Linked DNA regions of Arabidopsis thaliana. The protein of the gene in region 1 binds, or shares a complex with, the protein of each later gene. Each region holds a gene or a part of one and is shown in the gene's direction. Other genes may lie near its edges.

The links.
Region 2: AT3G52860 (region 1) and AT3G09180 share a complex: the UniProt entries of both Arabidopsis thaliana proteins name them as parts of the mediator complex.
Region 3: AT3G52860 (region 1) and AT5G02850 share a complex: the UniProt entries of both Arabidopsis thaliana proteins name them as parts of the mediator complex.

Annotation. Positions count from the first base shown.
Region 1 is NC_003074.8:19,588,752-19,595,994, reverse strand, and holds AT3G52860 (mediator of RNA polymerase II transcription subunit-like protein), read left to right. Parts: upstream 1-3,226; 5' UTR 3,227-3,253; coding exon 3,254-3,473; exon of another isoform or gene 3,474-3,663; coding exon 3,664-3,779; intron 3,780-3,862; coding exon 3,863-3,997; 3' UTR 3,998-4,147; downstream 4,148-7,243. Other genes in the region: AT3G52870 (IQ calmodulin-binding motif family protein), read left to right, coding at 309-538, 649-763, 975-1,040, 1,136-1,224, 1,343-1,430, 1,517-1,663, 1,761-1,853, 1,982-2,083 and 1 more; VSR1 (vacuolar sorting receptor homolog 1), read right to left, coding at 4,305-4,400, 4,500-4,612, 4,705-4,833, 5,096-5,162, 5,254-5,336, 5,758-5,839, 5,939-6,015, 6,190-6,273 and 3 more. UniProt on the Arabidopsis thaliana protein: Component of the Mediator complex, a coactivator involved in the regulated transcription of nearly all RNA polymerase II-dependent genes.
Region 2 is NC_003074.8:2,815,104-2,823,560, forward strand, and holds AT3G09180 (mediator of RNA polymerase II transcription subunit), read left to right. Parts: upstream 1-3,990; 5' UTR 3,991-4,174; coding exon 4,175-4,448; intron 4,449-4,542; coding exon 4,543-4,708; intron 4,709-4,880; coding exon 4,881-5,331; intron 5,332-5,421; coding exon 5,422-5,481; intron 5,482-5,564; coding exon 5,565-5,633; intron 5,634-5,726; coding exon 5,727-5,770; coding exon of another isoform or gene 5,771-5,789; exon of another isoform or gene 5,790-5,848; coding exon 5,849-5,993; 3' UTR 5,994-6,322; downstream 6,323-8,457. Other genes in the region: AT3G09190 (Concanavalin A-like lectin family protein), read right to left, coding at 6,547-7,584; AT3G09200 (Ribosomal protein L10 family protein), read right to left, coding at 8,261-8,407. UniProt on the Arabidopsis thaliana protein: Component of the Mediator complex, a coactivator involved in the regulated transcription of nearly all RNA polymerase II-dependent genes.
Region 3 is NC_003076.8:648,035-655,898, forward strand, and holds AT5G02850 (hydroxyproline-rich glycoprotein family protein), read left to right. Parts: upstream 1-4,013; 5' UTR 4,014-4,124; coding exon 4,125-5,405; 3' UTR 5,406-5,729; downstream 5,730-7,864. Other genes in the region: AT5G02830 (Tetratricopeptide repeat (TPR)-like superfamily protein), read right to left, coding at 1-387; LCL1 (LHY/CCA1-like 1), read left to right, coding at 760-953, 1,570-1,627, 1,721-1,844, 1,928-2,086, 2,196-2,321, 2,400-2,509, 2,827-2,886, 3,128-3,178; AT5G02860 (Pentatricopeptide repeat (PPR) superfamily protein), read left to right, coding at 6,068-7,864. UniProt on the Arabidopsis thaliana protein: Component of the Mediator complex, a coactivator involved in the regulated transcription of nearly all RNA polymerase II-dependent genes.

The DNA of each region.
Region 1 (7,243 bases):
AATCAAAAATAAAATCGCAATCTTACCTGTCTATTTAGGAAAACAGAATTAAAAAAGAACTTTGTCAAAATGAGAAAAAGAAACAAAATTAGAAAATAAAGAAGTAATTCGGATATATAAAGAAATGGGCCATTTATTTTCTATATATAAAAAATACATACAGAGATGACACAACACTGATAGCAGAACAAACACTTTTGGATCTTCTTCTTCTTCTTCTCTCTCAATACTCACAAATCCTCCATTTTCTCTGAGTTTAGTTTCTTCTTCAGACACTAAGATTCAAGTCCTCTCTTTGGTCGGAGAAGATGCAGGTAGTCTCGAGCTTCGATTTTCAGTCTTCGCCGTTCTCACACGGCGCCGGAGAGATTCTCATTTCTCCGGTAGACCACCGAGAGTTATCCTCACACGGTGACGCGCTTGAAGGCGCGTGTGATGACTCGACTAGATTGGCGGCGGTGAAAGTACAGAAGGTCTACAGGAGTTATCGTACGCGGCGTAGATTAGCAGACTCTGTCGTTGTCGCCGAAGAGCTCTGGTAATTATTTATAACCTTTTCAACTAAAACACTGTAATTAGATATTTAAATGGAGAGATTATGTTTTAGAGTCATTAACGTGTTAAATTAATGATGGTAAAAAACAAAAGGTGGCAAGCGATGGATTATGCGAGGCTTAATCATAGTACGATTTCGTTTTTCGATTACTCGAGACCTGAAACTGCTGTTTCTAGATGGAACCGTGTTAGCTTGAATGCTTCTAAGGTATGCCTTTTTTTCACAAAAATATCAAAAACATATTTTCACAAAATTTCTAGTTGAACTTTGTGATTTATTTATTTTCCCTAATGAGTCTTCTTTTGATTAAAATTCAGAAAAAAGTATATGTAAATATCTCAAAATATATATTATTGTAAGAAAAAGATCTCCACTTGGTTATTGGTTTTGTAATCTTGTGGTTTGGTTATGGGTTTAGGTGGGGAAGGGTCTGTCTATAGTCGACAAAGCTCAGAAATTGGCCTTTCAGCATTGGATTGAAGCTGTAATTCCTTTCTTCCACAAATTTCAATATTTGTTTGTGTTATATTCTGATTAAATGTAAAAAGAAGACTAATAATATGAAAATTTGAAAATCAGATTGATCCTAGACACCGGTATGGACACAACCTGCATAAATACTATGAAGAATGGTGTAAAGCTGATGCTGGTCAGCCATTCTTTTACTGGTATGCTTAAAATCTTAGGTTCATTTAGTTAGTGTTTTCTTGTAGCTCAAGAATCTTTTTTAGGTGATAATTCTTATCTATAACTTTGTGATATATCCGGGTTTTTTTTTTTTGGCAGGTTGGATGTTGGAGGAGGGATAGATTTGGATCTTAACGAATGTCCGAGGTCAAAGCTTAAGCAGCAATGCATTAGATATCTTGGACCTGTATGTGCCATTTTTTCCTCTCTTATGTCAATATTGGTTTTACTTGTTTTTGGGATTTCTCTCATATAAGCCTTTTCTGGTATCAGCAAGAGAGGGAAGAGTATGAGTATGTGATCATAGAAGGGAAGATTGTTCACAAGTTAACTGGAAAGTTCTTACACACAATGCATGGATCGGAAGGAACAAAATGGATCTTTGTTATGAGTACTTTCAAGAAACTCTATGCCGGTCTGGTAAGTTAAAACCGTTATATCTTTCTATTGGTGATGAATTGATATTAGTATTGAAAAAGATTCTAATGGTTCTTTTCTTTGTTTATGTTTACTTCAGAAAAAGAAAGGAAGGTTCCATCACTCAAGCTTTTTGGCTGGAGGAGCTACATTAGCTGCTGGGAGGGTGATTGTTGACAATGGAGTTCTCAAGGTAACTTACTAAGGCCACGTCCTTTTCTTAGAGTGGTTGAGATACATGTTCATTCATATCAACTTTTTTATTATGTCTGCCTTCTGTGATTTCTCTGTTTGATCGTTCTGTTTTCGGTTTAATCTCAGACAATCTCTGCATATAGCGGACATTACAGGCCGTCAGACGATAGTCTCGACACATTTCTCGGGTTTCTCAGAGAGAACGCAGTGAACCTAGACAATGTTGAGGTAATGCCCTTGTTCTAATCTTGGCTGGTGAATGATATCATTAACTAGAGTTTGGTTGTTTAGAAAAAGAGACTACTTGAGAGCTAATATATCTATGTATGTGTAGGTGCATAAAGCTAGTGAAGATTCTGACAGCTACGATGATTATGTTAAATCCAACGGAGGATCTGAACCGGAACCGTTAAAGAAAGAGGACACAACATTCCAAGCAGAGACTGAAACAGATGAGAACGGTAACGGAACAGTGGGAACACTTGAGGAGGCAAAACGGAGTAGCTACCAGAGAACACTCTCAGGTGGACTTGGGAGTCCAAAAGCTAACGTGCCGCAGAAATCTATGCTACTAAGGATAAACTCAAAGAAACAGTCAAGATCATTACAATTGGGACATCAGTTGTCACTGAAATGGTCGACAGGAGTTGGTCCAAGAATCGGTTGTGCAGCTGATTATCCGGTTCAGCTCAGAACACAGGCTTTGGAGTTTGTTAACTTGTCTCCTAAATACCGGAGTAGCAGACTTTCTCCGACCGGGAAGCTTGATGTCTGATCATATGTTCCGTACTTCCTTATGTAGTAGTAAATGAGAATCTTTCTTCTGTAACTAATGTGTGAGTTCTCTATCTAAGGTTTTTGTTGTCATCTTTTCACATGGATGATTGTGAATCAGAAGGAAGAGAATGAGAGATGTGTTAAAAGCTATTTTCACTGATAATGAAGAGAATGGTTACAGTATTTAGTCAATCGCTTACTCATTTTACAAATTTCATTAGAAAATCCATAGCTAAAAAATCTTTAAGTAAGGATGTAACTTATCTAATTTGATGGAGATAAAAAGTTACATAAGGAATCAAAATTTGTTACAAAAGCCATCATCTGTTATATCTTGTGACATCAAATCAAGAGTAAAGTATCAGAAAATGTTGTTCCTTCTCCTTACTATTGTTTTTTCATATGAAATAAATGATTTACTTCATATATTTATTAAAAATGAATTTTCAGTGTTTTCAATTAATTACATCAAAATGATATTCTTAAGAACAATTAAGAATGTGGAAAAGGCCCAATAAGCCCAAATTAAATCCAGTAAATGGGCCCCCATTATAATATTTTTCACTAAACCTTATGGGCAAACAAACAAGCAGAGAGAAAGAGAGATCGAGATCGGCGTGAATGGATTATCAGCAAAAGCCGCCGCAGTCTTCTGACCCTTCGCCGTCACCGCCTGACCGTCCACCGGGAATCAGATCACCGGAGACCCCCTCGAACAATCAGAATAATGACATAGAGGACATTATGGCTTGCGTCACAGCCTTGGAAGCTGCTCTGTTACCATGTTTGCCGGCGAGAGAGCTTCAGGCCATCGATCGCTCTCCTCACCCTTCTCATCAAAGTCAGTCCCTTTTCTACTCTCCAATTTCACCATTCTAGGGTTTTAGTTTGAATGATAGTTTGGAAGTTGTGTTTGTTTTTGTGCTTAACTTATGATCTCAGTGAATTTTGTGCTTAGAATTCAGTTGAAACCGAAGCTTTGATTCCATATTCGATGTTCTAGCTTAATTCCCCTCATTGAACTGCTGCAGTTGATGTGGAGCGGCACGCCAGAGATTTCATGGAAGCTGCGAAAAAGCTTCAGCTTTACTTCATGGGACTAAAGCGAGAAGATCGCGCGCCCTCGAGAGCTGAAAGCCTTAAGAAGGTGTGGTTTGATTTACCAATGTGAAAACTCCAAACACATATTGTCTTACCAGTTTCTGCTCTCTTCTGTTCTGTTCTTAACAGGATATTGCAGTAATGGAGGAAGAGCTTAAGACAAAAGATGAGCTTATAAAGAAGCACATGAGGCTTTTCCAAGAGTCGCAGAAGCTTGTGAAAGAACAGATTGAGAAACACAGAGATGAGCTGGAGAAAGTTTAACAATCTCTCAATCAAAGTTTATTGTTTTTCTTCTTATGGATCTTAAGTTAGTTTCAACAGTAAATAATGTAACACTCATTATTCATCCAGTTATGTCTATTTTACATTGTAAGAGTAATATGCAGACAAAAAGGAGATTCCATCTGCAAATCCACATTTCTTACAAATAGTGCAGGTACACTTATTTCTGTTTGTGGCTTTTTTCTTTTCTCTAGAGTTGTATCAAGTCCATTGATTCATTTACATGGAAACTTAAAGCTACTCATAGAAAGAGAGAGAGTCTCTTGGCTTGTGTTGATAACTTCACTCATATATCCATATGGTGACCACTTGTGTTGGGTGGTTGACTTTCCAATGGCATGTACTGTGCCATGATCCCTCTAATTTCCGCATCCATGTAACTCTGCATAATTTCAATTGTTACTTAGCATCTCTATCTAGACCGCAAAATCTTCCTATGTTTTAATATGATAACAAGACCAGAGTAAAGAACATCGTATACCCTGATTCTGTATTTGTAGACTGCATATCCAGAAAGACCTGCAACACCCACCCCGATTATAAGGATCCACAAAAAGCTCCAGCTGAGTTTTGTGGTTCCAACTTTGCCTGAACCTACACATTCACCAGATTCAAAAGCAGAAAGTCTGATTAATGACTCCAAATTAAGTATGGGGCTAGGAGGAAGGAAGATCTATTTCTTTTACCTATGCAAGTGTCGTGCTCACGCATGTAAAGCAAACCGTTGCTGCAGCTGCATTCATAACTTCCCCAAGTGTTTTTACATTTACACTCTGGGCACTGGCACACCGTTTTTTCTTTGCACTCGTCCACATCTAACACATTCAATCAAAAGAATATGATTATGAATTTGAATTTGACGTTTAACAATGATCTCACTTCTTTGATTGAGTACAATAAAAAATTCCACTGATAATTGTGTATCTGCACTAAATATTCTAGACCGACATGCATGCATATAAACAATAGGCTAATAGCATGTTACTAGTGATGCCTACTAAATAAATCGACATAGAGCTCTTTATATATGCAAGTAGACCACATGCATATATTTTGTAAATAATACTTAGCAAGTACCTTCACAGTTCTTCACTCCATCGCCCTTGAACCCAAGTGGGCATTTGCAATCCTTTGAATGATCATCCTGAAAAATCCATTTCAAGAACGAAAGAAGTTTTATTTTAGGTTAAGAAGATGATTGTTCAAACACATTGACATAGAAGCGAAATACTTACTACGCAAGCAGAGTAAGTGAAGCCACCTCGGGATTCTCTCCAGCATCCTCCATTGTTGATACCACAATGCAAAGCTCCAGAGGCTGCCAAGTGAAATAACATATGGATACAGAAAATGCACATTAACAAAGATTATAGTAAGACAACTTATGATATACGCAAAGGGGAAAATTCAGTAGAACTGCATAAAAAACATTAGAATGTTTCCACTCAGTCACATCAACGAATTTCTTCAAGTGTAAACTTTTTCAAAGTAAAATTTAATCAATGATTGTGACAATTTTATTTATCAATCTTGATATTATACTCGCAGGTGGTACAAATCAACAAATAGACCATCTAAGTTGATTCCAAGAAAATATCGACAAGGGACAAATCAGAGTATTGTTTGACTACCAGTAACAAATACTTGTGGAATACAGAAGCTAAGCAGAGGGTATGGCATTGTTCTGTATCTTGTTCCACACAAAACATGTTAAGCTACACAAATAAAAAATAATTTACCTTTGCAGTGAGTGTAACCGTCACCAACGAATTTAACACCTTGAACAGTAGGGCACTCACACAATCTTCCCCTAAAAGTATCCTAAAATGCCGATTCATACCAAATAAGAGTAATCAGTCATAGTAGCAACAACAAAACCAAAAGTTAGAAAATGAAAAGAATAGCATGCCCAAATGATACCCTGCATGCAGTAATGTTGGCAGCTTTGTCTTGCCAGCATCCACCGTTGTTTTCCAAACATTCATTAGTTTCCAAATCTGCAAAAATCAGAAGCATGTCTGAAAACTATCCTTCTCTCCCATGATATAAAACAATAGATAAAGAATTAAGGATAGCTCTAATGCAAGTTTTGAAAATATATATTGGCCTATCAAGAGAACTGTGGTTTCTGTTAAAAAAAATAGAGTTGCAAATGTCGTGGATAATAGTACCTTCAGTAAGACAGATAGCTGGTTCCGTTGACTCTTGAAAACCCGAACACATAGCCTTAAGCACTGCCCCCTTTTCCAATTTACCTAAAAGCATGAAAGATAATTCAATTAGCAAAAACATAAGAAAGATGCTGTAGAAAGGGAGGAAAAACTGACAAGTCAACATTTCCCCAATACCTCTGTATTGTCTGTTGTTCACGACAAGAGTTGGGAGTATAGTCACGTCTCCACGGGAACCTTTGCCTATCTGAAATTGAAGTAGACTCATTTTAAGAACACCTCGAGGAATGGAGAATATATGGCAACTTAAAACCAACAAGATCTTGGGAAGACGTGTAAGAGCCAATTAGTTACAAAAAGGCAAACCTGTGACTCCTGCTCTGCTTTAAGAACTGGGTTCTCCACATCTGCTTCAGGGTCTCCGATACACTTGTCCACCTTTTTGAGATCAATGCCTGAATGCATATATAGCTGATAGTCAGAAAATTTAGGATGAAATGCACAAATTTGAAAGTAACAAAATATCCACTTGGTGAATATAAGGATTCAAGAAGGCCATACAAGGTAAGCTCATTTAAATCAATCAATTGGTTGTTCTATATTATGGATGAGCTGATATCTGAAAATACTATTCAGTTTCTAGACTAATTTCTAGCCACAGGTAATATGTTAATTAAATGATACCACAGGAGCAAATACCATCGAAGTAATGAAGCATTATACTCACCAAGGGACTTAATAATTCCATCTGCGCATTCCTTGGTGTACTTCTTCTCCTTCATTGGACACCGGATAGCAAAGTCAGTCACATAGTCCCACCAGACCCACGGCTTACCGGTATCATTCATCACTCTGTAGACACAAGCCTGACGTAGATTCTGAACAACAACATCCTTTCCATCATACCCTTTCGTAAAATCCTGCTCAGGATCAGGCGCACAATACCTTCCATGGTTGATGCACTGAGACTTACACTGTTTACTCAACGTAAACGCTTCAGGACAGTACCAAGTAATATAATGTGGCGTGAACTGAGTATGCCCACCTTTCTCAA
Region 2 (8,457 bases), about 17 Mb from region 1:
TAAAAGGCCCAATAAAAGCAGGTGATTGATTTGGAGTCTGCTTCTCCACTTTTGCAGAACTACTAACATGACTTTTACCAGCCCCTCTGCTAGCTGTTTGATGCGGCTGGACCGGTATGCTAGTCATATTCTCTATACTGTTGCTTTGAATTGGCCTGTCCCTTATCCGGTTGCTGGACCGCAACACAGAAACTTTGCTGGGGAATGTCTTCTTCTTCCCTCTTGGAGGCAACCTGCTTCTGTTATCGTTGATTTCTTGCGTTAGTCCCAACGAAAAATTCGGCTCCACAATGTCTACTTCATCATCCAATTTCTCAGTTGGTGAAACATACTGCAAGGCATATAAACATGTACATAGTTCAGCGGAGCAACAACATATAACGTTACATTTACATAAATGGGAACTCTTACTGTTTTGGGTTCATGCACGGCCTCTTTGTTTTCAAGCTGCCAATAACCAATAGCGAAAGTAAGTGGGTTTGCTGCAACATAAAGTATGTATATTGTAACTCAAAACCAGAAATAAATATAATTACCTTTGTGCTCGCCACATGCTCCATATCTTTCGCTCGCTTCAGTGGCCTATTAGATTGTGCATCCATTTGAGAACAAGATTTTTTCTTTCCTCCTTTCTGAATAGAATCTTCTTCTCTTACCTAAGAGGCATCAAAAATATATGTCATTCTTACCGAATACACACAAATGCGTCATAATCTTCACTGTATTCTCACCTCCATTCTAGTGTTAGGGTTGCTGCGTTCTGGAACAGACACTCCAACGTTTATGCCGCACGCAGCCGGCAAGTTGTCACTTCCTTCACTTAACCCAATATTAGGTTCAACCTGTTGGGAAACTCCATGCTTATTTCCTGGCTGGTCAGCTCTTATTTGGTCCTGATGCATCAACAGAAAATTGTTGTTTAATGTGAAGCTGTCCATATACATCAAATAGCACCTACTAGTGCAATACTTGAAGTCTCAACAAGCAAATTGAGGTGCTTAACCTGTTTAGAGTGGGCATCAGCAACACATTTGCTGCATTCTCCAACAATTCCAGCCTGTCTATTTAGCCCACTCACAGCTTCCCTAACCGATTCAGTAAGTATTGCAACCAATTCTTTCTTCTGCTTAACCAGTTCAGCCTCAAAGTATGACTTCAATTCATCGTTGTTTGATTGTTGAATCTTGAGAACACGTTTCTCAAACTCATCAGCTACCTCTTTGATGACTGCCTCTCTAAGACCATGTCCAGCAGAGCCACTATCATTGTTTTCCATCTCGCCAGCTCTTGGGACTTCCTGCTGCAACCCTTCTCCATCCGCAAAACTGACACCATCTTTATCTGTCACCGGTCCATCCTTATTCGCCTCACCATCCAATCCGTCTACACCTTCTCCGGCTGCACACTCTTCCCTCTCTTCTGCAGCAACACCAGAACCATCAACATCCATCTCATCGTCACCATCCCCCTTAGCCTGATTCACACAGTCATCAGCCATGAACTCATCTTCAGATGGATGTTCAACATCATTAGCATCAACACCACCACTCCAACTGTTATGCTCGAATGGGTGTTCCTCCATTATCAATGATAGCAGATGCGAAACTTCTTCATCATCCTCCTCATCTGAGAAAGATAAGTCGATCTCTTTCGCCAGGAGCTCTTCATTCAGCAGTGAGGTTACCCGGTCCTAAAAGTTAAGAGTCAATAGAATAGATAAGTCAAGTACACAATCTTTCTACACCAAATACAAAGAACAAGCTTTACAACAATAGAATTACCATGCCACTTTGGTCGATAGTTCGTGCATCATGCACATTGATGTTCAAACTCAGCCCCAATACATACTGAACCAGCTTCTCGACTGGAATGGTTGGGTCTAGAATGTTAAACACCGAGTCTGCCGTGTATATAATAGCTGGACAACATGCCACTGTCACAAGAACTAAGGCATGAGGAAACCCTTGTATAGCTGTGGTATCTTGTGCAAGCTCCTTGGCTGTTCTTTGCTTGGCGCTTCGAATAGTCGCGAGAAACGAAGTTCTACCCCAAGGATATTTAAGAAAGGATTCTACATCTTTTACCATCTCTACATGGTCAGGATCGATGATAGTTCGCGAACATGTCGGGCAAAGAATCCCATCAACTAGTAGCAGCAACGATAGGCGAAATCGAGTCAACGGGTCTTTGTATTTCTTCCCCATAGATAGCTTCCCAACAATCCATTGTGAAGTAGGCTTTCTCTCTTTCCCAAATAATGCCTTGTAGAACCTCGTAGGATTCTGAACCGCTTTCATTTTCCCTCTTGTCCTTGCATCCTTTTTGTTGAATCCAGATTTGCTGCAGTTAAGCCCGGTAACAAGTGCAAAATCATCAATGGCAAATCGAATTGGCTTCCCTGCAAACACCCACCACATTTCATACTTCTTATCTGTCACCAACTGCCTAGATAGAATGTAATGTAAGAACATTACAGAAAACTGATGCGTCCCCATTTGCAACAGAAATCCAAACTGCGAACCCTCCAGCTGCTTCAAATGGTTTTGATCTAGAGCAGCCTTGATGATCTCAATCCACCTAAGAGTAAAGTAATTGTTTATCCTCTTTCGGCCCTCAGGTTCAGAACCTAGCCGAAACAAACGCTTTGGCAACTCTACATCCCCCATGGAACAGATACACTGAAATACAAATGTCCACGTATCACTTTTTTGATGCTGCTACTTACACAAATACAAAATATATAAATCTTAGATGTAAATATATGTTATTAACAGACTCAACCAATATAGCCTCAGCTTTCCGTTACTATCAACAACAACAAATGGATTACATAGAAGTTGAGTTAAATATTAAACCTTCATAACACCAATTAGTGGAATATCGGATTAACCAGCAAAGATTCACTAACTAAAGCTACTCAAATCCGAGTTTATGCTATTCAATACTGCAAATAAAACTAAAAATGTCATTAACACATACAACCAATTTGAGTAGCTTCCGTTACTATCAACAAACACAAATGGATTACATTGAAGTAGAGTTAAATCCTAAACCTTCATAACAATTACAAATGAATATCGTATTAACCAAGCAGATTCCCTACCTAAAGCTACTCAAATCCGAGTTTATGCTATTCAAGCTCTTCAACACAAATTAAAAAGATTTTCCCAAAAGCCAAAAAATGGCATTTCATACCTTAATTTGGCTGAATCCCTTCGCCGACACCAATTGCCACAGAAATTCGAGTGTTACAGTGGAGACGACGGAGATATAAACACCTCTACTCCCGTACAACAAAACTCACTCAAGTACTCTCAACGGAATCAAAAACCCTCGATTGAGAAAAGAGCCAACATAAGTGTTGTACGAAACTCGGATGCTTAGATAGGCTCCTCCTCCAATTGCAGAAGATTTATGCAGTCCGATTGCCAGAAATCGAAGCCTCCACAGTCCCCAAATCGAAACCCACAAATTCAATCTTCGTAAACTCTAGAATCGTCACTCGGATTGCACACGCAGTCTGCTCTTCGAAACTTTCCCGGGTGTCGCTTTTTAAAGCCCAGAATTTTCAGATTTTCTTACTGTAACTTCTCTGAATGTTCACCTCTATTTGAATTTTTACAGAGTAATACATAGAAGTTATCGATTGAAAACTCAGAAGAAGAAGAATAAGCGCGTGTGCTCACGCACGGGTTAAGTTTGTCAATATTGCATAAAGTTCAATACATATTGGTTGAAGTGTTAGTTTTGCAATTATAATTTTTTTGTTGGCTATATTTGCAAATTTCCCATTTTTTTACATGTACAAACTAAAAAAAAAAAAATATTAAAGTGAACAAACTGTACATATGGGCTAAAAACTAAAAGTCCCACAAACATTGAGATTACAAAATACATTTTCAGTCCAACATGAGCCATAAAGCATTGCTTAATGGAGTAAAACTCAATTTAACAGAGTGGAATAAATTAAACAAAATAAGACGTGAAGGAGCAGAAGCAAGCATATCAACAAAAACGCCTTTGAAACGCAAACGCTACAAAATTGCGTCTGGCGTTACAGTAGATTGAGATTTGAACGTGAAATTCTCCGAGTCCAGAAACATTCCTCTCCTTCCGTCGTCGTCAAGAAGATCAATTTCATTGAAATCGAAAGAGTGTGCTTGAATCACAGCTTATGCAGACGCTACACCAGTCCCAACTTCTCCAGAATCCGGCCGAGGCGGCGAACAATCAGTCTGAATCGGACGCGCCGCCGAAACAGGTGGCTCAGGCCATGGAACGACTCAATCAAGCGGCTAGGGTTATCGCCGATATCCGCCTCGGCGCTGACCGTATCCTTGAAGCTATGTTCGTGGCTTCGCAACCTCGTCACACAGACATGCCTCTTCAGCTCTTTCTCAGAGAAGACGCCTCCATGCGTCAACATCTTCAGGATCTTCGCTTAATAGGTGCTGAACCAAAACTGAATCATTTTCATTAGTATTGATTGATTCTCTAGATTAGGGCTTTTAAGGATCGATCAATGTTTATTGCTTGGTTCAGGGAAGAAATTGGAAGAATCTGGAGTGTTAACTGAATCACTTAGGTCAAGAAGTAACTCTTGGGGTCTTCACATGCCTTTGGTTTGTCCAGATGGTGCAGTCGTTGCTTATGCTTGGAAAAGACAGCTTGCTGGCCAAGCTGGTGCTTCTGCTGTTGATAGAACCAGGTATCAGATTCGTTGCTAATCATTTTAAAGCATACTTAGGGTTTAGGTTCGAGTCTGCATATTAGGGCTGTTAGTGAAGCTTGGTGGTACCAACTTGGAGTTTCATCAGCTAACCAATTCTACTGAATCTCATGCATTCTCCATTTTCTCGCGTTGTGTATAATGACTGTAGGTTAGCTCTCAAGGCCTTCACGGATCAGAAAAGACGATTCTTCCCTCATATTGATGATGGATTAAAGATGGAACCAAGCTCAAAAAAACATCGTGCCTCCCATTTGCTATTAGAAAATGGAAGAGAGGAGCCGGTTGATTACAAAACATTGCCAGATATACAATCGCGTTTAGAGAAGCTGGTTCCGAGTGTGAAGGTGTCTACTTATGGACGATTGAACTGGCTTAAAAGAGCTAACTCTTTACCTGGGTCAGGTAGTGATGATCCTACAGAAGCATCGAAACCTATTTTCCAGAGTTCTAGCAAGCTGAGATCAGGGTTACAGACTGAAGTTGTCGACAAGATTGCTGTTATTGAGTTATCATTTCCTTCTCTATTCAGAGCTATAGTCTCGTTGAGTCCAGCGGGTTCTGTTGATCCAGATGCAGTTGCTTTCTTCTCCCCAGATGAGGTCACTTCCAACCTCCTTGCATTAAAATATACTGATTCTCATGTGAAATTGTTTAAGTTCTCATGTTTTAGCTTCATCCCTTTCTTACAGGGAGGCAGCTACTTACATGCGAGAGGCTTCTCGGTTTATCATGTTTACAAACACATAACGGTAATAAAGATGCGATTGATATTATATATAGTTTAACAAATTTGATTCATTGGGGACTTGCATTAATTAGATTTTTCTTGCAGGAACATGCTGCTACAGCCTTGCAATATTTCCTCGGCTTTGGTACTGGAACAGCTCTCTACTCTCTTCTGGTAAAGCATTTTACAAGCACACTTCAGTCTCTGGATAACATGAACCTTTTTTGTCTGGAAGTTAATTAACACCTTTCTCTTCTTCTTATGCAGCTATGGATATGCAGTTTTGAATCCGTATTTAGCAAACCTTGCACGTATGCAGACTCTCCGTAATTCTTCTAATACATTTGTTTCCCGTGGACTAACTTTTCATTTCTCTTCTGATGATGCAGTAAATGTGGAAGGCTATTAGCAATGGATAAAAAGTCTGCGTTAATCTTACCTCCTTTACACCGCGCTTACCAAGAATTGCCTCTTGCATTAAACCTGGACGTTTGTGAAGCTTACCACTCCAGTTGCTCTCAAGATGATACCTAGTACTCTAGTGATTAGGGAGGATCAATTAAAAGAAAGGTTAGAAATAAGTTCTAATAACATTTTGTATGGATCTTTAGTATCTGCTCTTCTCCTTGATATACCTCTTGTTTGTTGTTGATGTCCCATGTTGAGGTTTAGATTAACTTTCTTTCTTTCTACTCTCTGGTAACATGTGAATGTTGTCTTCTTTCTAGAGATTTGATCTTTGTTCACGAGATGACTGAACAGAGACCTTTTTTTTTAACTCGGTTCACATTACTCTGTTGCAGTCAGCATCAAAGTGAGAAAAAGACAGTGGGTGTTGATTTTTGCTTCCGATCCAGAAATATAAAACATGTTAAATGCAAGATCAATAAATTAAGTTATTTTGCAAGATCAAATAAGCTTACGGCTTCTTTCATAGAGATTGTACATGTGAAACCTGCAACTAACGAAGCAAATAAAAGAAAACACTAAATAAAGATAACACCAGAGGAAGTGGAAGAAGGTACTACATTTACACTACAACAAGACAACCTTCTTAAACCAAAGCCAAAGCCAAACAAACTTCTCATTACTTCTTGCCATCTTTAACTGCAACGACCACAATGCTCACTGCACATTCCTCTGGAACCACGGCCATTGACCGCCTAACACTGCAAATAGTCCAAAGATACATAGCTGACATTGCCCCTACGGCTCCACATACTGCAGCCAAGACCAGAGCACCAAGCATTCTCCATATACACTCACTATTTTCTCGGCCCTCTTCCATTTCCGTGGAAACGTCCGGCTTCAAACCTTCATTTGGTCCTAATGGCGCTGGTTGCACCCATATCGGATCAAGATGCCATATTTCAAAGCTCCATGAATGGAGAAAATGTGGCTTGGAAGAGTTCCCATTAGCAGAGCTTAAACCCACCATGACTTCACCACCTTTCCAAAGCTTCTCCAAGTCTACCGAGAAAGAGAAGAACGGATCAAACATCTTTATCGAACCACGTTTTCTGAAACGAACCCTCATTCTCTTAGAACTTGCCTCATAATCAATCATACAGCTCAAAATCCCTCCATCATCCATCATCAAGTCACCCACAAACGAAAGGTTTCTAATTTTGGCAGACTCAGGTCTACCAATTAAGACTCTTGCACGGTTTCCTCTCTTGGAGATATCAAACTCAAAAGCAACAACTGTCTCGTTCTTTGCATACTCTAATAGAAACCCTAAAGCAGAGGAACTGTAATCTTTCTTACCAAACAGACTAAGATCCAAAGTACTTGGAACCATTACAAAAGCCAAGACATCACCAATCTCATTGGGCATCGAAAACGAGAAGTAAGTCGAGAAAATAACGGAGTTCCTCTCTTTACCTTGGAATAGATTGATGGGTTTCTTGTAAAAGACTCGTCCCTCGGTCCGATTCACTGAGTCAGTCAGCTGAATCGAAGAACTGTCATTGACCAGCTTCGAATCTCCAAACAGAGCAACACTCTTGTCAAAACTCTGAGATTTTACGAATTCATCAAATGAAAACGTGAAATCCACACCTGCGGTTCCATGTATCTCAAAGCATAAAAGGACCAGAAAAGATAGGGTTTTGAATATCGCCATAGCTATACTGAGACTAAAATTGGTTCTCTCTGATTTAATGACTACAGAGACGAGCTCTTCTCTCTCTCTTACTCACTCACTCACTCTTCTCCTTCTAAAAATGGAATTTCTAGGATTTGAGAATGACTTCCATTTTTTCAAGAAGTATTTAAGTTTGTTGTTTTGTGTGGAACTATGCGAAGAAAGCAGAGGAAGAAGTTAAATATCATCAACACATGCAGAGAGATTGATTCGTTCTCAGTCCCACTCACTTTCTCCCTCGTAGTGGTTGCTGACTAAGGTTAATGCCGTTTCTGATTTGTATCTCAGTTTTATTACATTCTATCATGTTTAGCCTCATTTACTTTTAGAATATGACATTTGTGCCTACTTTCTAAGAAATAAAATGACTCAACTTGTAGATCTAAGAAGATTCTGCTTCATACAAATTTTATCAAAGTCATGTATAAGAAGCTCTTAACTTTCTCGACGGATAGATAAATTGCAAATTCATCGTCCAGACATTATTGAAAAATATTAAAGCAACCATAAGAAAACGAAATCTTTCCAAAAAATAAAAGACAGTAGTAACATAAAACTGGATTGGCTAAAACCAAGAAAATTGAGGTCCAACATACTAAAAACAAAGCAACACTTATAATCCACGACAAAAAGGTAAGATCTTAACCGACAAAATCTACTCTTCATCGAACAAACCGAAATCACCTCCATAGTCTTCTTCGTCGGACTCTTCCTTCTCCTCTACCTTAGCAGCAGCTGGGGCACCACCACCTGCATCAGCAGACACCGCAGCTACTGAAGCAACAGCAAACTTGCTTGGATCCTGCATTCCAGAGAGTTAACATAAACAAAATCAGTACTCCAAACTTCCGA
Region 3 (7,864 bases), on another chromosome or scaffold:
TTTCGATAAGAGATCATAATCAACCATGGAAGCGAAACGAGCCACATTAGCTCCGGACTCTGCAGCCAAAGTCTCGGCGATGAGAGCGACGTCCTCAATTCGACCATCCTCAGCTAGCTTCGAGGCAAAATCAGCGTAATACTCAAGCGAGCCATCTGGAATCCATCTTACGACATTGGAGAAGTGGCTAGAGAGAGAATGAGTCGCGGAGACTGAAGCAGGAGAAGGTGAATGTTGCTGCGGTAGTGACGGAAGTAGCTTGGTGAAAGAAGAATTGGATTTAGTTTTCCGGTTGGACTCTGGTGCTGTGGCGTAACAGCGACGGTGGTGATGGTGAGGATTGGTTATGGCGGAGGAGGAGCCAAAGACAATAACAAAGTCTCTCATTCCTCGCCAACGGTTAGGATCATCATCGTATCATCATTGTGGCTCAGTTTTTCTGGTTTTCTAATTTCATGTAAATCAAATGGATTGGATTTGAAAGGCTATTTTTACAACTTCCACACCGGACCGGATTTGTAGTGTTAAAATACACCGGTATATATAAACCGATTTGGTACTTTGATTTTAAATTTTAAGAAATAAAATAAGAAAAAGGAGAAAAATGGATGGCCTGAAATTGCAAGCGAAGCGTCTCCACATATTATACACCAACTTCTTGCCCGCCATGTGGATATCGTCGTCATTTCTCTCTCTAACCCCTTCTCTCTTCAGTCTCTCTCTCTCTAGACGATCTCTATCTTGAATAAAATACCGATAATGACCTCAACCAATCCGGTGGTCGCCGAAGTAATACCGGCGGAAACTTCTACAGATGCTACAGAGACGACGATTGCAACGACGGAAGCTGGTGAAGCACCGGAGAAGAAGGTGAGGAAAGCTTACACAATCACCAAGTCTAGAGAGAGTTGGACTGAAGGAGAACACGACAAGTTTCTGGAAGCTCTTCAATTGTAATTTTACCGCGCTCTTTTTTTCTTCCACCAGCTATTTGATTGACTGATTCTTTGTGTTTCGAGCTCTAATTTATAGCTGAATTTTGCGTAATTTCGCGTAATTTCTACTTAATTTGCTTAATCAGATCGAAGTTTGGTTATGTGGTAGATCATCTGGAGTTTTGCGTATGCAATTGGATTTTGCAGAAGCAACAATGTCTTCTTTGATTTGTTAGGTTGGATTGTATATTCGATAGATCAGAATTTATATTAATCGCTGATGAATGTTTCTTCTCATAAAACCGAAGTATGGTTTAAGCTTATCTTAGGTTGCCAAAATGATTGAGTAGAGGACTTGGCATCTGGTTTCTGCATAAATAGTGGTATTTTGCAGAAGTCGTATCTTTCTTTATTAAAAATGTTTAACATGAGAACTGAAAAAACTTACTACAAGTCAGCTTTTAGAGCTATGCATGAAACCAATTTCCAACTACAGTCCTAAACTACAATTCAGATTTTGGTAATGGTTCGTTACTTCCACATATTACATTGCTCTTTTGTGTGTGTGAAAGGCTTCTCTCTCTTTTAGAAAAAAGAATCTTACTTTGTCCTGACAATTTTCTCGTGTCCTTAGGTTTGATCGTGACTGGAAAAAGATAGAAGATTTTGTTGGTTCAAAGACAGTTATTCAGGTTTGAGATCAGCTTCTTTGGATTTTTGGTTTAATATACAACCTTGGCACATTTCCCCACTCAATCATCCTGTGCCTGTTTGATTTACTGCAGATCAGGAGCCATGCCCAAAAATACTTTCTAAAGGTCCAAAAAAATGGGACTTTAGCACATGTTCCACCCCCTAGGCCTAAGCGCAAAGCTGCTCATCCATATCCTCAAAAGGCATCGAAAAATGGTTAGTTCTATTGTAATAGATATTACTTTGGGTTGACAGATGGAGTAACATGTAATCAATCTGATTTCAACTCAAATCTGCAGCTCAAATGTCGCTTCACGTTTCCATGTCCTTTCCTACTCAAATAAATAACCTGCCTGGATATACTCCATGGGATGATGATACATCTGCATTGTTAAACATTGCTGTAAGTGGGGTTATTCCACCAGAAGATGAACTTGATACTCTTTGTGGAGCAGAAGGCATGCGTTCTCATCTGTACTCAGTTTTTATATTTTGCTTTGGTAGTCTAGTCACTCTATCTTCTGAAGTTTTCATATGCTAAATGCGGCTTACATATCATTGTTTCAGTTGATGTTGGATCAAATGACATGATAAGTGAAACTAGTCCTTCAGCATCTGGTATCGGAAGCTCAAGCAGAACACTATCAGATTCTAAGGGTTTGAGACTGGCGAAACAAGCTCCCTCAATGCATGGTAATTATCTGAACAATTGAGGGACTATTTCTTAGTTTTCATTTTGTGGTGGACGCTGTTGTAATGGTTGCTTTGCAGGTCTTCCTGATTTTGCTGAGGTTTATAACTTCATTGGGAGTGTGTTCGATCCTGACAGCAAAGGCCGCATGAAAAAGCTCAAGGAAATGGATCCTATAAATTTCGAAACTGTGAGTTGGAGCTTTACTTGCCTTTAGATTAACTGATATGTGTGTTGCAGCATATCAATCATTTAGTCTTCTTCTTTGAGTTCCCGAATAAATTCAGCTGTGTGAGAAGATAAATATAAAGATCAGTACTTGCAATATATAGATTCACGAGTTGGAAACACCAAAAAGCCAAAGTACCATGATTCTATGGAGATGTTGGTCAAATAATGGGATTGTTACAACCATGAGTCAGTTTTAGGTGTCATGGTACCTATTTGTAGCTGTCAGTGATTGTTCTTTTTCCTAGTATCCGTCACTAATCACAGTTTTTCTTGCAGGTTTTGCTGTTGATGAGAAACCTCACAGTGAACTTGTCAAACCCTGACTTTGAACCTACTGTAAGTTATAATTTTATCATTACTTCTGTGCTCGTTGAGTATGTGAGGCACATTTGTCTTTTCGTGATAAGAATGAGTGAGAAAAAGTCTCTAACAGCTAACAAACCTACTTACTATCTGCCTTGAAGTTTAACTATAGAAATTAAGACTAGTTCGCCTTTAGTGTGTTATGTTTTTAACCGTTCCAATGATTAAATGAGGATTGTTGTGCTCTATGAGATATAATCTAACCATAATTTAGTCTGAATATGTTGATGCTGCAGAGGAAGGTCATGAACACTTAAGCTCTTAGCTGTTTGTGCACTCAACAAGTTATATATCTTCTTGACGACTTCTTGCTCGCAACAACTCTCTACCAGCTATCAAGTAAGTTTGGTGTTATACCGCATCCCTCCGACACCAATATAAAACACTATAATAAGAACGTTCGCATTGACTTAATAGATTATATCGAAACCTAACACCACAGTTCACTAAGGTTTTCACCTTAATGTTTCTCATTTGTTACTGTAGTTATTGTCTCACATGATCGAACGTCATAATAAGAATGATCTGTAGATCATAACTGTTATATTCTCAGCGTTGCTGCTATTATTCTGATTACACTACCCTTAAGGTCTTAAGAATATTGCTCTTACGGTCTACCAAATTGCTATTGATCTCTGTATATGGTGGATTGTGTCAGATGCATTCTACGGTTGTTGTCTGAGGAGAACATAACTGAGTCGTCGTCACAAACAAGAGGAACATATGCAGTTTCGGTCAGAACCAGTCGTGTGAATGGTAGATATATGTATGTGTGTGTAGAAAATGGTTACCAATTGTATCTTCTTTTTGATAATTATTTTTTCATGCCTTTTGTAATATGTAAGTTTCTTTACCTCGTTCTCTGATTGGTTATTTTCTGGTTATCTGTTTAACCAAAAGCTATGTAACACAGTAGCAAATTGTTACTTAACTCGGAAGTGAGATACATAACTCTGTTGTATTGCACTTGTATCAAGCGTTAACGTCCATGATTCGTCTCTGTTATTGTCAATAACAATTGTTCGAAAGCCAGGTTAATGGTAATTAGGAAATTGAACCGTATCGGTATGGTTTTAGCGGGTCTTTAGACTTTTCTAATTGATACTGAGGGTTTGCGAATTTTGTATAAACAGTTGAACACTAAACAGAGAAGAGAAGCTTCGTCTCTTTAATTATCTTCGATTTAAGAGATTCTTTCGCCGTCGGCGAAGATGCTACAGCATCAGATCGTACAATCTCCGGCGAGATTAGGGTTAACAGGTCCTGGCTCTCCTTCCGTACAAAATCCGACGCCTACTCGTCATGGCCATCCAACCTCTTCTTCATCTTCCCAATCTCAGCACCAACAGATCCAACAACAGCCTAATCTACTTCCTTCCTCCACCGTCGCCGCCGCTTCCTCAGCCTCAGCTTCGGCGGCTGTTTCATCCTCCGCCTTGCTATCGCTCCTTCCTCCATTACCGCGAGCTCAAGCTCTTCTCCAGCAGATGGCGGTTTTGACATCTAAGCTCTTCGACGTCTCTCCCAATCGAGCTATCTGGCTCTCAGCTTTCCGTGGCTCTCTCCCTTCGTTCCTCTCCTCACACTCGTTACCACCTCCGCCGCCGCTTGAAAACCCTAGTCCTTCATCCACGAAGGAGATCCTCTCTCAATTCAATTCCCTCCAGACTCAGCTCTTCGAAGCCGTTACAGAGCTTCAAGAGATCCTCGATCTGCAAGACGCGAAGCAGAAGGTGGCGCGTGAGATCAAATCCAAAGATTCATCTCTTCTCGCTTTCGCTAACAAACTCAAGGATGCAGAACGTGTTCTCGATATGCTTGTTGACGACTACTCCGATTACCGCAAACCAAAACGAAGCAAAATTGAAGAAGATGACGAAGACAATGATAATGAGTCTTCTTCTTCTTCAACCACAGTTTCGTCTCAGCTCAAGTTAAAGGACATATTAGCTTACGCTCACAAGATTAGCTACACCACATTTGCTCCGCCGGAATTCGGTGCAGGGCAAGCACCTCTCCGTGGTGCATTACCACCAGCTCCACAAGACGAACAAATGAGAGCTTCCCAGCTCTACACTTTCGCTGATCTTGATATCGGTCTGCCGAAAACAGTAGAAAACATGGAGAAGAAGGTTGAAGCACTGATTGAGCCACCACCACCACCAGAAGCTATGGATATATCTGCTATTCACAACCTGCTTCCGCCGAATATCGCAGTTCCTTCAGGATGGAAACCAGGAATGCCAGTCGAATTGCCTAGAGATTTACCATTGCCACCTCCTGGATGGAAACCAGGCGACCCAGTTGTGTTACCGCCACTGGAGTCAATTGCTGCACCTAGAGCAGAGGATCATCAACATATGAGACCTTCTCAGGGACTCCACAGACCGCCTGATGTCATACAGGTCCGAGCTGTTCAACTTGACATTTTGGAGGATGATGATAGCAGTGATTACAGCAGCGATGATGCAAGCTCAGATGATGAGGATTAATCAACATTGTGATTGATGGTTCTCTGTAAGGTAATGATTTGACCAATGTTACTGCTAATTCTTGATCAAGTTTGATTTTCTACTTGGTTTCGTTTTGTTTAGCAGTGCCTTTATGTGGATAGATGTTAGTATATGCTTCATCGTTATCAGTATCTTTGATGTATCAAAGTTGTTTCTTACGAAAACCCTGGATTCTAATTCAGTTTACAGAATTATTGGTTATCTTTTTTCCAGAATCATTCTTTAGCTTCAAATTTCAAATTATTAGTAAAATTCAGAATGTTCAACTATTGGAGTTATGCAACTTGACATTTTGGATCGATCTCTCTATACGACAAAGTAAAATCCCTCTTAGGTCATACATACATATCAGAGGCTCTTTCTGCCCATTTCTTTATTGTACAGTTTATTGTTCCATTTGGGCTTCTAATAATATAATGGGTTGACAAAATAAGTAGTAGCCCATTTAGATCTAACCTGTTGAATCTGGACTAGCCACGTGGTCGAATATAATTGTAGGGAAATAAAACTAAAATTGTGTTCTTGGAACAAAAAAATATAATAAAAAAAATCTGACAAAAATATCCATTCATTTCTCTTCTTCTTTCACTCTCGGTTGCCTCCTGGTTCTTTTCTAGTTTCTACTACTACTACTACCTCTAATGGCGGACAAGCTAGCTCTTCCTCTTCTCCTTCCCTGCACTCCTTCCTCTAAACCTTATTCTCACGACCAAAACCACCATATCTCTCGGACGCCTTTTCTTACTACGTCTCTTTCGTCACCACCTCCTCCGCCTGTAGAGCCTCTCCTCCACGATGTTTTCCTTCACCAGAACCCTAATTCCAGACAACCCATCAGCTCTCAAACATCTAGAAACCGTAACCGGACTCGAATTGGCAAGTCACGTGACCCTAACCTCGGTAAACCTTGGTCTTACCATGGTCTTTCTCCACAAGGTCAGCAAGTTCTTCGTTCCCTCATCGAACCCAATTTTGATTCCGGTCAATTAGATTCTGTACTCTCTGAGCTATTCGAGCCTTTTAAGGATAAACCAGAGTCTACCTCGTCGGAGTTACTAGCTTTTCTTAAAGGATTAGGATTTCATAAGAAATTCGATTTGGCTCTGCGTGCTTTTGATTGGTTTATGAAGCAAAAGGATTATCAATCCATGTTGGATAACTCTGTTGTTGCTATAATCATCAGTATGCTAGGTAAAGAAGGCAGAGTATCTTCCGCTGCAAATATGTTCAATGGTTTGCAGGAAGACGGGTTTTCGCTTGATGTCTACTCTTATACTTCGTTGATATCAGCGTTTGCTAATAGCGGAAGGTATAGGGAAGCTGTAAATGTGTTCAAGAAGATGGAGGAAGATGGTTGTAAACCGACTTTGATAACGTATAATGTTATCTTGAATGTGTTTGGGAAAATGGGTACTCCTTGGAATAAGATTACGTCTCTTGTTGAGAAGATGAAGAGTGATGGGATTGCTCCGGATGCGTATACTTACAACACTCTTATAACTTGTTGTAAACGAGGCTCTTTGCATCAGGAAGCTGCTCAGGTTTTTGAAGAAATGAAGGCTGCTGGGTTTAGTTATGATAAGGTTACTTATAATGCGTTATTAGATGTTTATGGAAAGTCTCATCGGCCTAAGGAAGCTATGAAGGTTTTGAATGAAATGGTGCTCAATGGATTTTCTCCGAGCATTGTGACTTACAACTCCTTGATCTCTGCATATGCGAGGGATGGTATGCTGGATGAGGCAATGGAGCTTAAAAATCAGATGGCGGAAAAGGGAACGAAACCTGATGTTTTTACTTATACAACACTTTTGTCAGGGTTTGAGAGGGCTGGGAAGGTCGAATCTGCTATGAGTATTTTTGAAGAGATGAGAAATGCAGGGTGCAAACCAAATATTTGTACTTTTAATGCCTTTATAAAGATGTATGGTAACAGGGGAAAGTTTACTGAAATGATGAAGATATTTGACGAGATCAATGTGTGTGGTCTCTCCCCCGACATTGTCACTTGGAATACACTATTAGCAGTCTTTGGCCAAAACGGGATGGATTCAGAAGTATCGGGTGTATTCAAGGAAATGAAGAGAGCTGGGTTCGTACCCGAAAGGGAAACTTTCAACACCCTAATCAGTGCGTATAGCCGCTGTGGTTCGTTTGAACAAGCTATGACTGTTTACAGACGAATGCTTGATGCTGGGGTCACTCCTGACCTTTCCACCTATAACACTGTGTTGGCAGCTTTGGCCCGTGGAGGAATGTGGGAACAATCTGAAAAAGTTCTTGCAGAGATGGAGGATGGTCGGTGCAAACCAAATGAATTAACTTACTGCTCTCTACTTCATGCATATGCAAATGGCAAGGAGATTGGTCTGATGCATTCTCTAGCAGAAGAGGTTTATTCTGGAGTTATCGAGCCTCGAGCTGTGCTTTTGAAGACC